Nothobranchius furzeri: one gene and its partner. The protein of the gene in region 1 interacts with the protein of each later gene in a pairwise test. Links are inferred from orthologs where the notes say so. Each region holds a gene or a part of one and is shown on either strand. Other genes may lie near its edges. The genes, in order: csde1 and c14h11orf68.

What was found.
Region 2: the proteins of csde1 (region 1) and c14h11orf68 interact in a two-hybrid assay, tested with the Homo sapiens proteins (2 studies listed by BioGRID and IntAct). The link is inferred for Nothobranchius furzeri from reciprocal best matches to the Homo sapiens genes CSDE1 and C11orf68.

What each region holds. Positions count from the first base shown.
Region 1 is NC_091755.1:53,130,008-53,138,445, reverse strand, and holds the start of csde1 (cold shock domain-containing protein E1), read left to right. Parts: upstream 1-3,934; 5' UTR 3,935-4,143; intron 4,144-5,154; exon of another isoform or gene 5,155-5,284; coding exon of another isoform or gene 5,285-5,410; intron 5,411-7,720; 5' UTR 7,721-7,750; coding exon 7,751-7,909; intron 7,910-8,419; coding exon 8,420-8,438. UniProt on the Homo sapiens protein: RNA-binding protein involved in translationally coupled mRNA turnover.
Region 2 is NC_091754.1:63,715,121-63,722,757, reverse strand, and holds c14h11orf68 (UPF0696 protein C11orf68 homolog), read left to right. Parts: upstream 1-3,209; 5' UTR 3,210-3,352; intron 3,353-3,967; 5' UTR 3,968-4,002; coding exon 4,003-4,749; 3' UTR 4,750-4,979; downstream 4,980-7,637. Other genes in the region: drap1 (dr1-associated corepressor), read right to left, coding at 1,915-2,008, 2,183-2,255, 2,760-2,801.

The DNA of each region.
Region 1 (8,438 bases):
GCATTGTAGCCTGAGCAACGTTTCTTTAGAAGTCTGAGGCGTTTATAATTTTATTTTAGTCAGGTTTTATTCACCATTATGCTTGTTTTTTACTCATGGATGTGTATTTTAATTTCTGGGTTTGTGACGAGTTTTTAATTAAAATTGAAACGCTTTTTATCGTGGTGTTCAGCACAATTGCTCGGGTCACTTTGACTCTTCCAGCTGAGAATAGCGGATTGTCAGGAAGTCACATGCTTGGCCCTGGCAAAGCAATGCTCTTTCTTGCTCAGACATCATCAGGGTCACTGGTACTTAACTGGCATGTTTTGCCTGTTTTATGCTGTTTCATAAAACAGTGGTACACTGATTATAAACTGCTTGTATCATGACTGGAAGTATTTTTTTGTTTTGTTTACCTGTGTTGAAATCACAAATTATGCCATAAAATATTTTCCTGGGGGGGGACTTAGTCTTTACCACACTTGAAATTTATCTGGAAGTAAGTTTTCTTTTTATGCTGTTGTGGTTTTTGCCTGCTTTTTAATGTGTAAACTCAGCTTAGGCTTGTGACCACCTCTTATTGTGGCCTTCCGGGATGGGAAACTGACTCATTGCAACACATTGACAGCAGCGGATCATGTGTCGCAGGAGGACTCCGGCAGCTTGTTTACAGAGCAGCGTATTTGGGTCAACAACCTTCTACTCTAACCTACTTGTTGTTTCTAATGAAGCTAAATTTCATGAAAGAGTAGAGCTGGGCGATTAGAAAAACATCTTATCACTATCACGATCAAAAAATCTAGGTTGTTTAAAAAAGAAAACAAATCCGTACTATTTGACTGTCTTTCATACTAAATGGTGCTTTTAGGTGAGATTCAAAGAGATCAGAAGGTTATCATTTTAAAGATTTATTTATTTTTGCACACTTTCTGTAATCTGGGATTTTAACGTCTTGCATTCTGCTGCTTCAGAATGATCAGTTGTTCTCCCTGAATTAGTCAAAACCTGTGCTCAACATCATTTGTGGTGCAGCTTATCTGACATTAGCTAGCCAAAATATGTCTACATCAGTGGCAGCTGGTGAATTAGTTACATTTTTTCGGCAGGGCACATTTATGCCCTTTTGTTTTCAGATGTTCTAGCGAAATATCACCACTAGGGGGTGCCAAATTACCATTCTTACGATCAAATCTACGTTTTGTACCTCAACACGCAATGTCGCTAAATAAAAAGGCCAACAAAAGACACAGTAGCAACAGTGCAATATGATCCTATCCTCTTTACAATTTAAGCACCATTACTCAACCTGCAAAAGTCACGGAGCAATGCTGCAGCAAAACAAAGCTACTTTCATAAACTCAGAATCATAAATCAAGTCTTACCTTTGCTTACCTTTACCTGTACTCGTTTACTCTAAAACAAAGAATGGTGAGTTAAAAATAGTTATTAAAAAACTGAACTGTGGAGAGTTTCTGGTTCCAGGCAAACATCCTGAGCTGACACTCCACTCGGTTTTGGTTTAAACTTCTGCGACCAAAGGTGCTTCTATTCTTTGCATTTGAGGGGATCCAACGTGTTTAGCTCTGTTAAAGACTGCTGTGCTCGAAAAGAACAGGAAGTACGTAATATGTAAGATTTTTTTAAACTTCATTTAGATGCAGATTATACACAGCACTTATCGTCTGTGATGTGTAGATCGTTTTAGTTTAATTTTCATGTTTTGATAGTAATTCCATCTTCTTCCTGTGAGACTGGTGGGTCGCCCTAGCGCCCCCCCCCCCCCCCCATGGACGAGCTGCCACTTGTCCACATAACTGAACTGTTGGGCTCTTTTTTTTTCTCATGACATTCACTGTGTCCTATCCTTTTAATTACCTGGCTTACGGCAACATCCTACCAATTAGCTATGGTAACAAGCTAAAGCGATGCAAACATTAGCAGCACTTTTGTCATTGTGCTTTGCGGCTCTATTCCAGCCAACGATTGGTCCATCGCGGAGCACCAATATAAGCTGTTCTTTATATCGAGGTTTTTATCAACTCGTTCTCATGTCTACCGAGAGAGGATTTTGAATTATATATTGTTGCTGTTCTATCGCCCAGCTCTACACAAGATACACAAATTAATTTTCTTTTTGGTTCCAAATAGTAGTAATGTGCAAAACAGAGGGCCTTGTTGTGGTATGTATCAAAAAATAGTCAACGCTAGCTAATTAGTAGGGATGCAACAATACCACTTTTTTCCAGACCGATACGATACCGATACTTGGATCCAAGTACTCTCCGATACGATTACCAATACCGATACTTCTACCACAAAAAAATGCAATGATTTGGAATACAAATTTTATTTTCTTCAATTCAAAAATACTTTATTAATCCCAGAGGGAAATTGATTGCTGTAGTAGCTCAGAATAATAATAATAATCAAGTCATCAAAGAGTTGTTGTATATTACAATGGCTGTTGGCAGGAAGGATCTCCAGGAGTGGTCAGTGTTGCAGCCAAACTGAAGAAGCCTCTGACTGAAGACACTCTTCCGTTGTCGGACAGTCTTGTGAAGAGAATGCTCAGGGTTGTCCATCATTTTCTTGATTCTCTGGAGATTCCTTCTTTGCATCATCTCCTCCAGCGGTTCCGAAACTGCTGAAACTCTGGCTGAGTCCTTGAAAGGGCTTGGAGTTCCTCCATCTTTTGGCCAGTGATCTCACATTGTCCATTATGATCGATGGAAGAGATGGTTTGAATTTCCTCTTTCTCTGTCTCAGTTTTGCTCCCGCTCTGCACCCACGCTTCTTGTGTTTTATCTCATTTGGGATTTGTGGCTTCAGTTGAGGTATTATTTCAGCCTTTCTAATGTTAATCAGCTGCTCCCGATTGTAAACCAGCTTGTTGCCATGGTTACGCATCATAACAAATTGCAGTAAAAATCCTCCACGCTTCACAGCACCAGAAACAGAAAAGTTAAGTGTCCAAAAAATACAGTTTTTCTTGAGAAACTGGAAGAAAAATTGCCCAACAAAAGGCAAAACTTACATATAGTCAACAGAGCTACTCGAACATGCAGCCGCCCAGAGCAGCGCAGTTCCAGAAAGCTTCTCTGCTTTCAACAGGAAAAGACTGTGAGGTAGATAAAAAGTAAAATATATGAATGGAAATCATAACAAAACTAAAATATTAGGTGAACAGAAATGACAAGTTACAGTGAAGCCATATTTAAGGTACTGTATTGGTATCGGTTTCTGGTATTGATTAACTTTTAACGATACCTATACTGGTATTGGTACCGATACCAATACCAGTATCTGTGCATCCCTACTAATCAGCCCCCTTTTGCCTTTATCAAGAGGTTTTTGTTTACAGAATAGATGCAGGTGGTCAGTTTTTGTATTTTTCTGCAGCTTCTCTTGGGACTCGCCCCTTTTTCCTGTGGTGCAAACTGTGTGTGTGTCCATTGTCAAAGAAGAGGGTTATCTAACCAGAGCTGCTTTCTCTCCCCAACAGTATGAAGTGAAGCCGAACTGAATTTTTGTACCATCCGCAACTGCTTCAAGTTCAGATCAAAACAAAGGAACTGAAGAAAGAAAAAACCTCCTTCCAAAAGCAGTAACTCCGAAGATAACGTGGGAGGAACAGGATCACTTCAAGGATTTAAAAACACGAGTAACCAAATCCTGAAACGACCAAAGAACACGCACACCTGCCCAACTGCAACACAGACGAGAAGCAATCCTATGCCCAAGCATATTTTGAGAAGCTAACTGATCTGAAACCAGAAGTTTGTGCCTACTCAACAGCTTTGACAAAGCACACGTCCCAACGCTGCTCCTAGCCCTCCTCATCCTTACTACGCTGCCGACTCACCTCCAGGGTGTGGAGTTGGTTGCTATCTGCTAGTTCCCTCCCATCGTTCCCCTCTCTCTCCCACCCTCTTCCTCTTCTCCCTCTGTATTTCTTAAGTTTTCTGCACAGTGTTGTTGCACCTGCAATTGCCTTTCATGTGCTAGATCTCTCCCCCCTTTTTACTTTATGCAACCACCTAGAAGTTGAGCCAGAAACCTGTTAGCTGTGTGTGTGTGTGTGTGTATGTATGTGTGTGTGAGAAGAAGTCTGCAAAGTGATCAAGAGCCTGGTTATTGAAAAGACAAAAGTCAACAAATAAGGTGAGTTTCAGTCGTTTTCCTTTCATAGAACAAGATTCATCATGTGAAAGGCTTTTTTGCATTTCAGCCATAATATTTGTGACTTCATAAAAGGGTTCGGTGTTGTTTTTAAAGGAAAAACTGTAAATGATAAACTTTTTAGAAAATGTCAAAACTGGTTGTGTAACACTGGCTTCAGTGCTTAGGTTTTGGTGCACTAGATGAAAGTGTATAGCTGTCTGGTACCTGTGTGTTTGCAAGCTTTTAAAACTGTGTTCTGACTTCTAGCTTTAAGATCCATTTTTAAGGCGGCACTCAAACTTTGCCTCTTAAGCACAACGTGGAACATCAGTTCAGCTGCTAGCGTTTAGTCAGAAATTAGCTGCTCTTTGTACTTCCGGTCATACTGTTGAACATCTGATTTTTGTCGTTTCTCTAAAGCCTAGTTTATGCTTCTCTGTCAAAGTTTAAACTAGCATGTGTTGACAGAAACATCTTACTTTCATACTACTTTGTGTGTCAGTGTTGCCAAGCAATTCTCTGCCAGGACAGCAGAGGCTGTAGACATGTTCTGGTGGGTCTACCTGTCATTTCAGTGACTTCTCTAGCCAACGATAAAATCTCTATTTTTTAAATAACTGACTTGCGTTTGGCGGATAGTTTAAAAATGGGCTCTTCATCCGTCTTTGCGTGCCTTTTGGAGAGTTCTTGCGTCAACGGATAATGAAGCTGCGTCTCGTCAGATGGGAGAAGTATAAACTAGGCTTGACTTTTCCAATAAGCAAGCTGAGCTGAACTAAACAGTCACCATCCCTTCAATGTTTCTAAACCGGTGATTTGATTTAGTTGATCAGATTGCGTTTCCACAGCTAAATTGACACCCTTTCTACTCTTGAGTCATCTTTTTAAATCTTTTGCCTTTTCAACTCCTCCTCTGAATTGACAGCTGATTTCCTGTGTTTGTGACACTTGGCACACTGGCTGTCCTATCTTCATTGTCCATTATGTTTGTTCCTCTCTTCACCCTTGCAGACATCCAGCAGTGTATCATTGGGTGGTTGCGTAACCGTTTTTTGTCTTAAGTCCAGCAAAAAATTCAAACCAGTAATCAAGTTCAGCAAGTGCTCAAGCAAGCAAGTTTGGTTGGAGTTTATGGGAAAATATGGGCAGCCCCTGGAAAGGCTTTGTTGAGTTTACCTTGCCTGCGTCACCACCTACCGCGTTTGTTAGCGCTGACCTGAGCAGCACCTCCCCCGTCGGACTCAGCTTGTCACCGTATGGCCGATCCGTAAGTTTCGCCTTCCTGCCTATTTTCTGCGAGCCCTACCCCATTGAGCACCCATCCACCCAGCCCTGCATCTTTGCTGTGAATGGCCTAATCTTCCATTACCACCGGGCTCCCGAGACTAGCCTCTACTCAGTTACATCGTTGCAGGGTGAGGGTTGTTTGAGTGTAGCTATAAGGCTATTTCACTGATGCTGGAGAGTCTTTATTTTCTCTTATCAAATTAAACCCTAACCCTGGCTTTCTACTGGATGTGTAAGCAGAGTGTAACGTAATACACTTAATCTGCAATTTCTCTTCCCACTGGGAACGTTTCACACAGCTGGTTCTGCAAGGTCGCAAAATGACCTGAGAGTTGGTCACGTGTCATTTCTGAAATTCTCATGAGAACCAGTACGGAGAAAGATGGCTGCATGTAACCAAAATGATCCCTGGTGTCTGTTCAGTTTACCTTGGCCAGAGGTTTCACTGGTAGTTACATACCTTTTTTTTTAACTAGTTAAAGAGCAAGTCACCCCCTGCCCGAGTCTTACTCCACTCCTACTTCCTGTTTGTACAATGCAATGCTGTTGCCTGGTAGACCGAGGGGGCGGTGCTGCTAACAAATACACACACAGGCTCATAACGGCATTGTGACATCATATGGTACTTCTTAGCCAATAGCGTTATCAGATTTAAATTCAAATGCAGTGCAAAGTTTTCACCTGAAGAGGGCACAACAATGAGTTTAAGGCAGAATATTTAAGTTTTTACTAAGATGCACTAAAGTGACAAATAATTGACTACACGTGTCTAAAGCACGATTACACACATTTATATAGTTTATCAGCAAAACAAAGTTCATTTGGGAATGACTTGCTCTTTAAGCAACTGGAAATCTGCTTGGAACTTTATTTTGAAAGTTTTGAGATGTTTAACACAGATCTCATGTTCTTGTCTGGCCTGACTCTGTAGGCACAGCGTGTTAAAAATGTGTCATACGTGACGCGTCCCCCCCGCTTCTGGGACTCTTTCGAAACGCGGTGCTGGTGGAAGTGCACCCATTCGTTATCATGATGGCTAATTGCTGTGAACTATGCTTTATGGACATAACGCAATGCTTACGCGTCCGGTAGAGAAGCCTGGTTACATAACTCACCTTCCCATCAGCCCAAAAAAGAAATTACTTCATAAAGTGTAAAACTTTAGAAAAGCTTCCTACCTTTTGCGTTTTTTATTTAAAAGTTGCGTTTTTCGATAGAGCAGAACAGGGTCTAACAGCAGAGGCTGCTCTGGGATCCCCCTCATTACCCATAATCCATCACCAGCTCTGTCCACCTGTAGATACCTGCTGTTCAAACCGTCTCCATCTCCAGTCCTGTTCTCGCCTCAGCTGGCTGTGCCAAGAGCTAATTTTAGTTCCTTTTTCCGTTTGAATGGAGGTTTTTATTTTATATCTTTTTAGAAGGGGTGCTAAAAAACTCAGTTTGGAGGTTGTACACTCATTAAGGTTTTTGTGATATTCAAATATATTAATTAATTCATTCTCTAATAAAACATGTGACTTGTTTTAATACGGAGCTGGCATACAGAGGTTGTGTAAAGTTGGGGACATCAGTTGGACGTTGTGGCATAAAGCATCAAGGTTTGGGTGTCCAAGGGCGTTTCTCAATGCTAAAGAACCTTGTCTTGATGTCTTGTCCCAGTCCCGGTTGCCTAGGAGATACGTAAACAGACGTGTTCCAATGTTCATGTCTACCGAGGTGTCTGTTCTCCGTTTGTTAGCCGTTCAGCTAGCTGAGCAAGGATACACGGGAGGTGTCTTGTAGCCTAGCCTTGGTCAAAAATTACCCAGAATACACCGCAGTATTTTCAAAAGGATGGCGGATCAGAAGCCGGCAGCTACTTCTGGGGTAAATTTCAAGTTTAAATGTAAGTCAACTACTTAAAAAAAATTCCCAAAGCAGTTATTTATGGTTGGTTAGTTGCTTAGTAGTTGCAGCTTCGGTGGCTAGCGGGTAGTAACTCAATTATATTTTTAATTATAACAAACATCTAAACAATTTAAAAAGGAAACACCTTGTTATATATTTATGTTGAAACTACTACGTATAAAATATAACGTTATCTCTCGTGTCACGTGCCGTTACGTGGAAGCCGCGGTCACGTGTTGCAAGTCTGTTCCGTTTAACCGTTTTCTTTAACCGAGGAAGGACGGTGTCCTGAGTAAGGTGCCTTGACATTGAGAAACATTAAAAATGTAAGGTAATTAAAGTAAAAACCATTCAAAGCTTTGAGTCGGTTACATTTTGAAGCTGTTGCCTTTTCCAACAGCCTGTCCCGGCCCAGTCTCCTGTGTTAAAAATGGAACGAGGCTCCTCTGAACCTCCAGTTGCTCGAAGCACTGGCTCAGCCTCGAATACCTCCACTGCTCCCGTTCACATTCCCCGATCCTCCTCTGTCTCTGGCCATCCTCACCAAGGAAGTAAAAAATACAAGCGGAGCCCCTTGTATCAGAGATCCGTAAGACGAGACGCAGCTCTTACTGACTGAGTGGCTCTCTGAGCTGATTGGTGTGGTTTTACCTCTAACCGCATGGGTTTTTACATATTATAGTTAAATAAGATTATTGTCACTTGGTTGTGAGTCAGAGGAACGTACACTACTCCATCAGGAGGCGCATGATGCTTTGCAAAGTTCCACCTTGTTAGGATTTTAAAATATCAACAGTTTTGGGTGAATTGCTGTTTTTAAGGCATGATTTGACCTTAAAGGTTTCAGGTTTGTAGGCTAACATAGGTTTAAGTTCACTCCTAAAATGTGTTGACTATTGATGAGAGATCCCCAGAAGGCTCGTTTGCATTTTGTTTTATCATCCTATCCTCCTGGGTTCTGCAGCAGCTGCATGTTTTAGTTTTTAAGTTTGGCTTCAGATGAATTTGCCGTGAACTCTCGTCTCCCCCACCCGCTGTGTTGTGAGCTTCACGCTGATCTGCTGCTGAATCTGTTTAAAACTCTCCTCTCCTCTTCTAGATGAGTTTCGACCCAGGCA
Region 2 (7,637 bases), on another chromosome or scaffold:
CTCATAAACACTGATAAATCAATCATTCCTTTCAATAAACGTTCGACACATAAAAATACACTGAGTAAAATGTACTTAAATGTGTATATTACTGTTTATACTAGATTATTTACTGTAAAGGCTGTGATTAATCAACCAGTCCTATCTTTAATGAACTTTTGACACTTGAAAATAAAACAGTGAGCTGAGCAGAATGTTCTTAAAAGTGTGTTACTTTTTCTGTACTAATTATTTCCTGTCTTAATATCAGTAAACTTTTCACTCATGAAAAAAATGTGAGCAAAATGTAGGCTATAAACAAGTAATAAATGAAGTTTTAACCCCTTAAAGTGGAGAGGTCCTGGCGACCCAATGAGAGGCTTTGGCGCCCCCTTGTGGGGGTCGGGACCCCCAGGTTAGGAACCACTGGTGTAGATGATCCACAAGGCCTTTGGGAAACATTCTGCTCTGATGAGACAAAGGCAAAACGTTGTAGAAGGCTCCATCTAGAGTAAAACTAGCGCTAGAATATTGTAACAGTCAGACATAGAGGTGGCAGTGTGATGGTCAGGGGCTGCTCTGCTGCATCAGGACATGGGCCACTTGCTGTAACTGGAATCAGCTCTCCTGAAGGACAACATCTGACCTTCGACCTTAAACAGGTCATTCATGCTGGAAACCCTTAGCCTAGTGAACTAGACCAAATTCTTGCTTTGCAAAGTCCAGGCACGCTCCACTGGGACCTCCGCAGCTCCTACCAGGACTCTGGCTGGCCAATCACAGCTCTCTAGAGGGGTTTCAAACACATAAAGAGCTGTGATTGGTCCATAATGGTGGGCCAATCATAGTGCTCTATCTGCTTAGTGAACAAATCAGAGAGCTTTATCCACTTTGTGGGCCAATCAGGGCACTCTATATGCCTGGTGGGTGGGATGATGCAACAGAGTGAAACAAGAGGATGTCACATTCTTTGTCCAGTGGAATGCGGAGATCATTTGGAAGACAACGGTAGAACCCGCCCCACAACCGAGAGCCGTCAATGGAGCGTGGCCAGACTAAATAATACATTTATTTAGTCTGGCTTGCCAGGCTAGGAGACCCTCCCAACGTGGCTGAATTATTATTACTGCATAACGACAAAACTCCTCCACAGTCATGCAGGACTCGTTACCAGTTATATCATAGACACTTGACTGCAGATGTTGCTTCAGAGTGTATCAACCTGTAGGATCAGGTTGGTTTACACAGATTTTGTTCCCTTAATTAAATAATCATTAGAAAACTGCATTTTCCATTTATTCTAGTTAACTTTGTCTGATGAGGATGCTTCTTTGCTAATCTGTTTTTTTTTATGTTTAAAGAGCAAGTCACCCCAAAACCACTTTTTTTTGCTGATAAATTGAGTGTCTAATCGTGCTGCACAGACATGGAGTCAATATTTTGGCCCTTTAGTGCATCTTAGTTCAAATTTAAATAAATATTCTGCTTAAAACCGTCAGTATTGAATCGTCTTCAGATAAAAACTCTGCACTGCATTTGAATTTAAATCTGCCATCGCTATGGGCTAAGAGGTACTCCATGACATTAGCTGGTACATTATGATGTCACAATGTCTGTGAGAATGTGTGTGTATTTATTAGCGGCTCCGCCCTCTCGATCTGCTAGACAACAGCACTTGCATTTTTTAAACAGGGAGTGGAGTAAGACTCTGGTAGGGGGTGACTTGCTCTTTAAATGTTTCAAAGACCTGAGGGGCAGATACTTTTTACAGCACTTGATAAAAGTGAGTATTATAGATAAATGAGGGGGCTGACATTCAACCCTGAAGTGCTGTAACAGTAAAAACAACAATGAATCTTTAAATCTGAATATTTTTTTATGTTTACATGTAAAATAACACACTAATAAAAGGTTTGACTCAAACACAAGACTTACAGATGTGATGTTGTCATAGTCTTTGCATTCCTCGACTGGGTGACGTGACAAGCCTTTGTAAGCAAAGACTCCAGAAAGAGTTCAAGAGCTCTCGCTGATGACTCAGTGAAGGAAACATCAACAACAGCATAAATGCTTATGATTCTCTTTAAAATGATTTTTTCATCAAAGATATTACAGAGATTCAAAATGCTTTGTAGTTTGTACATGACTGTACAAGTAAAAGCAACAATTCGCAAATATCCAACCTTTACAGAAAAAAGGATACAGATAATAACAGGAACTGCTGCAGCCACTTTGCCGATTTCTTCGTCTGTCTGCATAATCTTCTTAATTCTTGCCTAAAACAAAAATAAATGTTATTTTCTGTATGTCTTAAAGCAGTTTTTTCTCCTCATTACTGTAAAATCGTATCACAGACTAACTGTTAGCAGAACATTAAAAACAGCTCAGTGAAGAACCCAACCCCTCAGTTCATTTATTTACATATGTGTTAACTTTGTTATATGCAAGTCCATATGCAGGTAAATAATAAGTACAAGAACTCTATCATAGAATTTCTGCATGTATAATTTACCATGTCGGTGGTAGGCAATGCTAAAAACAACCAAAGTCAAGTCGAACGACTGATGTCTCAGCAAATAAATATATACATGAAAATAGCTTTTTTAGCTGATTGAGGGAAACCTACAACCTGTAAGTGGCTAAGTTGTAGTTCAGTGAAAAACATCAGGGATGCTAATTTGGTTTTCCATTCCATTAGACCAAATAAAGCCCGAATCTCCTGAAGCTAACCACAACTAGCTGCTCCTGTTTGCTCGTTTCAAATGAAAGTTTTGACTCACCGGAGGAAATCTGGCGTTGTACTTCTTCTTTTTGCTGGGCATAGTTAAACAACCTGGGAGGATAAACTACAAAACAAAGTATTCAGGATTATATTCGTATATCATATGTGATTCAATCCAACCGCACATACAACAGATATTGGTAGCTAACCGGCTAACTTGTTAGCACGTCGTCAGTCGTTCCTTGGTGCTCCTCCGCAAACAGGTCCGGTCACTTTGGTTCCGCTAACTTCCAGCGAACACTGTGATGCTAGCATTTTAATCTGAGCGTTCCACGTATTAATTAGTTGAGATATGTTTCATATATTAATGTTTAAAGACCATTATTAGTACGAATAGTTCACTAAGATAATGGGCATTCTATTGGTATTTGCCTGAAAGCTAAGTTTTCTCTTTTGCAGTCGGGCGACAACAGCTCTGCCCAATGCGCATGAGCGAAAGTGCAGCGCCTTATGAAAAACCGCTGCAGCTAGCCAGTTGGCTAGCAGCAACTAGAAGGAAGTAGTTCGGTTGTTTTCTTTCATGTTACTGCAAACAGGAGCTGCTAACAGTCGTCCGAATGGGGAACAATCTGTAGAACAAGCAGGGTTTTGGTAAGATGCTTTAAATATGTAGTAAATTATGCTAAATGTGGTCTGTTAGTTGGCACCGCTGAATCTTATAGGCCAGATGGGTCAAACGTTATAAACTTGGTCAGAGTTCAGGGTCGATAGCGGAAGAGATGTTTTATAATGTTTTTGTGGTTTCTTATTTAAGTGAGATTTCTAGAAAATTAATATATCGTATTATTTTCCTTAACGTATTGTATTAAACATTTACCAAATGCTTTCACGACTGTTTAAAATCCCTCGATGAAAATAAAAGTACGCAAATTTAAATATTAATTTTTAAAATGTTAGGAGAAGTAAAAACTGCTAGTTGAAGACGAGCCTGTGTTGCCAGATAAAAGCCAGAGCCACAAACCCAACATCGCTGGGGCTTCAATCAAACTACTGTACTGAGAAGTCCAAACCTCCAAGTTTGTTATGTTTCTAATCAAATGAGCAGAGTTCCTTAGGGCGGCTCCAGACTGGTAGCAGTGCTCTGTCCTGATGCATTCTGGGGCTTGTAGTTTTAGTGGTAATTTGAACTACAGTACCACAGGCCGTGTGTTTGTGTATTCAAACATGTGAGGTGTTTTTAAAGCCAGACTGTTTGTTTCCACTCAGCAGAACAAACGACTGGATTCGTCCACTCTAAAAGCATGATGGAGGGAGAAGGAGCCCCTGTAGATGGAGAGGGGGAAACCCCGTTCATGGCTGAGGCCTTTGCCGCTGAGGCCATGGCTGCAGACATGGATCCCTGGATAGTTTTTGACTCCAGAAGAACTCCCAGATCAGAGTTTGAAGGCTGGCTGGAGAGTAACAGACCCTCGCAGGTGTACAGGTTTGGTGCTGAGGAGGAGAGTGGCTGCCGGGTGGGGTGGATCGCTGTTCTCGGGCCGGACCACTGCCCTGGTGGCGGGGATGTCATGGGTCTCCAGGAGAGTTGGGAGAAACTTTTGGCCAGCAGCAGGCCTGTCACGTTCCAAACGGTGAAAGAGCTGGCTCTGAATCACGGCGTGCTCACGGGGAAGTGGCTGATGCACTTGGATTCAGGCTTCAAACTAGACCACGCATGGGAGTGCGTGGCCAGAGCAACCCTGGAGGGCAAGATCTCCACTGTCAAAGTAAGCCCCTTTAACCCCAAGGCAGAAGGCAAGCAGGTCATTTGTGCCTATAACCACAACTTCACCGATGAGAGTGAAGTGATGAGGTTGGACTCGGTCATCCGCGCCACAGGGGTCAAATGCCCCCTCTCCTACAAGCCAGATGTTTACACATACCTGGGAATCTACAGGAACAATCTCTGGAAGCTCTGCCCAACAATTTATGAGAGCAAGTTTGACTTGGAATGTGTTCCCCGGCGCTCCCACATCATCAACAAAGTCACGAGGCTGGAAGTCACCTAGAACCAGTCTGGACAGGAGTGTGGCGTTGTGACCGTCTCGCATGAAGCCCGGGCGCTGCAGTTAGCCCGTGGTTCAACTTCAGTCTCGTGTTTTTTCATTTTTGATAAAGGGGAAAAAATATTATTTCAATGTTTTGTTTTATCCATCCTGCTTTCTTAGCTGAATAAGTGACCTGAAATGCAGTTTCAGTTTATGTTGAGTGATGTTTGTGAGCGGCAGGATTGATGAGATCCTTGAATCCTGAGCGTGGGCCTCTCAGTGACTCGGTTATGCTTCCCTTGGTTAAAAAAGATAAATATCTCTTCAGTTCAGCTTTAATCTTTGTTTACTACTCAACCATCGCAGCATTAACAAGTAAAATATACCTTTGAAAACCTGTCTTAATGTTTTGATTTTTTATTGTTAAAGTGTTCTGAATTTAAACAAGATTAGACATTCATACCAGATAATAGCATGGTTTTCTGTGTACAAGTAAAGAAAGGCAGAACTTCAGCATAGAGAGACGTTTAGAAGTCTGTTTTCTGTGAAAGCTCTCCGTAAACACAGTTTGAGCTCAGACCAAGGCGGCTGGATGTCATCTTAAAACCGTTCCTGCCAAAATAACTGGTACAAAACTAATGGCTGCGAGAAGATTTAGAAAATAACAGGAACAGTGAAAGTTCTGGAGATCAGGCCCGGCTGGTTTTAGGTCTATGAAGTCACTCTGCTGCCACCTTCAAACGGTTACTGTATAAACCTACGCCGAACCCCTGGATGCAGCAGAAGGGCTGGAGCTGACTCGTCCTCCCGTAAACGGCTACAGCTTTGGGGAAGTTTATTAAATATTAAGGCAGCAGCAGTGGTCTTCAGTAACGTTCACACAACTTCTCAACGGTGGAAATACACGCCCGTTTGCACGTCTTTCCATCTGAGCCAGGTTCAGGACATGGTTGTCTTGAACCTCGTACTGAAAATAATTAAGTTAAAAATGTGGTTTAATGGCAGAATAATGAAGAGTTTACAGCAACTATGAGAGCTTCTAGAAATTGTATTTCTGACCCTGTGAGATATGAAGTCCGCGTCGACTCTGTTACAGAAACATCCAAACGGCTGAAAAATCCCTTTAACAACTTACTACAAAGCTGACGTAAAACGTGTGTAAGTGGTGAACTGTCGTCTTTATAAAGTACAAAAACCATCCTGTGGCAGAGTTGTAAGCTTCTGAGCTTCTGGTTGAATTGTATTTACATTTAAACCTTCATTTGGTTTGATGGGCTCACACCGCAACTGCTGACCTTCAGTGAACATTACCACCACCTGACAGAAACCGTGTACTTGTGTAGGCTCACCTCTAAGAAGTACCGGGCCTTTTGCTTTGGAGTAAAAATGGCTGATTTTAAACACTTCTACGAACAAAGCAACCAAAAGTGGTTCAGAAAGACGCTCAACAGGCTCCATCGATACATCGACACCTTCATCAAAACCTTCCACGTGACCCTTAAAGCTCCTCACACTGGCTACACTGGTGTGATTGGCTGAACTTGGCCAGTCCTGTAGTTGCTGTGATAGTTTTTCAGTAAGTACATCCACAGTGGAAAGTCACGTCCACCCTCCACCTTTGTCCATGTTAGTGGACTTTCTGTCCTCAGGAGGGCGGACAGAAGAGGTCTTTGGGGGGACTACTCCTAGGTTGGGTGTCCCGACACAAACCCAGCATGGCTTCCGCTGTTAAAAATCGAAATGAGACGCTCTTCATCGGCAGACATCAGCTCCTCCAGATCGTCCAGCACCGTGGGCTGGTGGTTGCTGCTGCTGCCAGGACCAGCTACCATCATGGTCTCGCTCCGCAGCAGGTTAGCGATGCTGTTGGGGTAATTCATGTAGGTGCTTCCTGGGTTACTGACTGGTTCAGAGGGGTTCTGGGACACTGAGCCGTTATGGGGGCCAGCAGCAGAGTTGGGAACGGCCACAAACATGGAGGCGCTGTTTCCAACATCAAGTCGGGGGTTCAATAGGTCCACAAGGTCCTCCATGTTTAGACTGTCCAGGGTGCTGGGAACCTGGGCATCGGAAAAGCTGGGGAAGTCCTCATCCACGAGTGTTGTTTCCACTTGGAACTGAGAGTCCGGGTTGGAGAAGATGGTGCCGGGCTGGGTGGGCTCCGTGTTTCCCTGAGCAGCTGCTGGCTCCTGGGAGATGGCTGAGGACATGTTAGGGAAGAACTCATGAAGGTCTGACAGGTTGACTGTTTGGTAGTCCTGGCTGGCTGCGGTGGCGCTGGTGGTGGGGGCCATGGAGGCAGGGGGTGCTGCTGAGCTCATTATAAAGGGAAGTGGGTTGTTTTTGGGCTGAGGGCCCATCTTTAGACTCTCCATGATCTTCCAGGGCTCAGTCGCAGCTGCTGTAGTGACTTTGGGTTGGACCGAAGCGAACTGTGCTGGCTGAATGCACGAGTAGGTGGACTGCGGTTTCATCCCACTGGCACCAGGGGGCGCTTCAGTAACTGGAAACAGACAGCAGGAGCAGATTCAGGCACAGTGTTGAACCCATTCAGTACATTTCTACCGTTGTAGGTTAACCGTCATTAACCAGATTATCTGTTATCCTCCAACCAGACCCCAACTGTGACGTAAGGCACTGGTTCCCAGTTACCACAAACACTTCAACAGTTTGACAACCAGTAACTAAGTTCAGAGGTTGTTTCCTTTTTCACACAATGGCAGGTTGGTTTTGATAGATGTGTTCCCTCAACACTCTGGACACATTCAGGAGATGAAGACCAGACACCTACCGGCCTGGGCGCTCATTGAGATGGGTTTAGGTGTGACTCTTCGTGCAGAGTTCATCGGTCGCCTCTCTTGTGAAATGGACACTGAAACAGCAACAGACATGGTTTCATTACAGCGAAG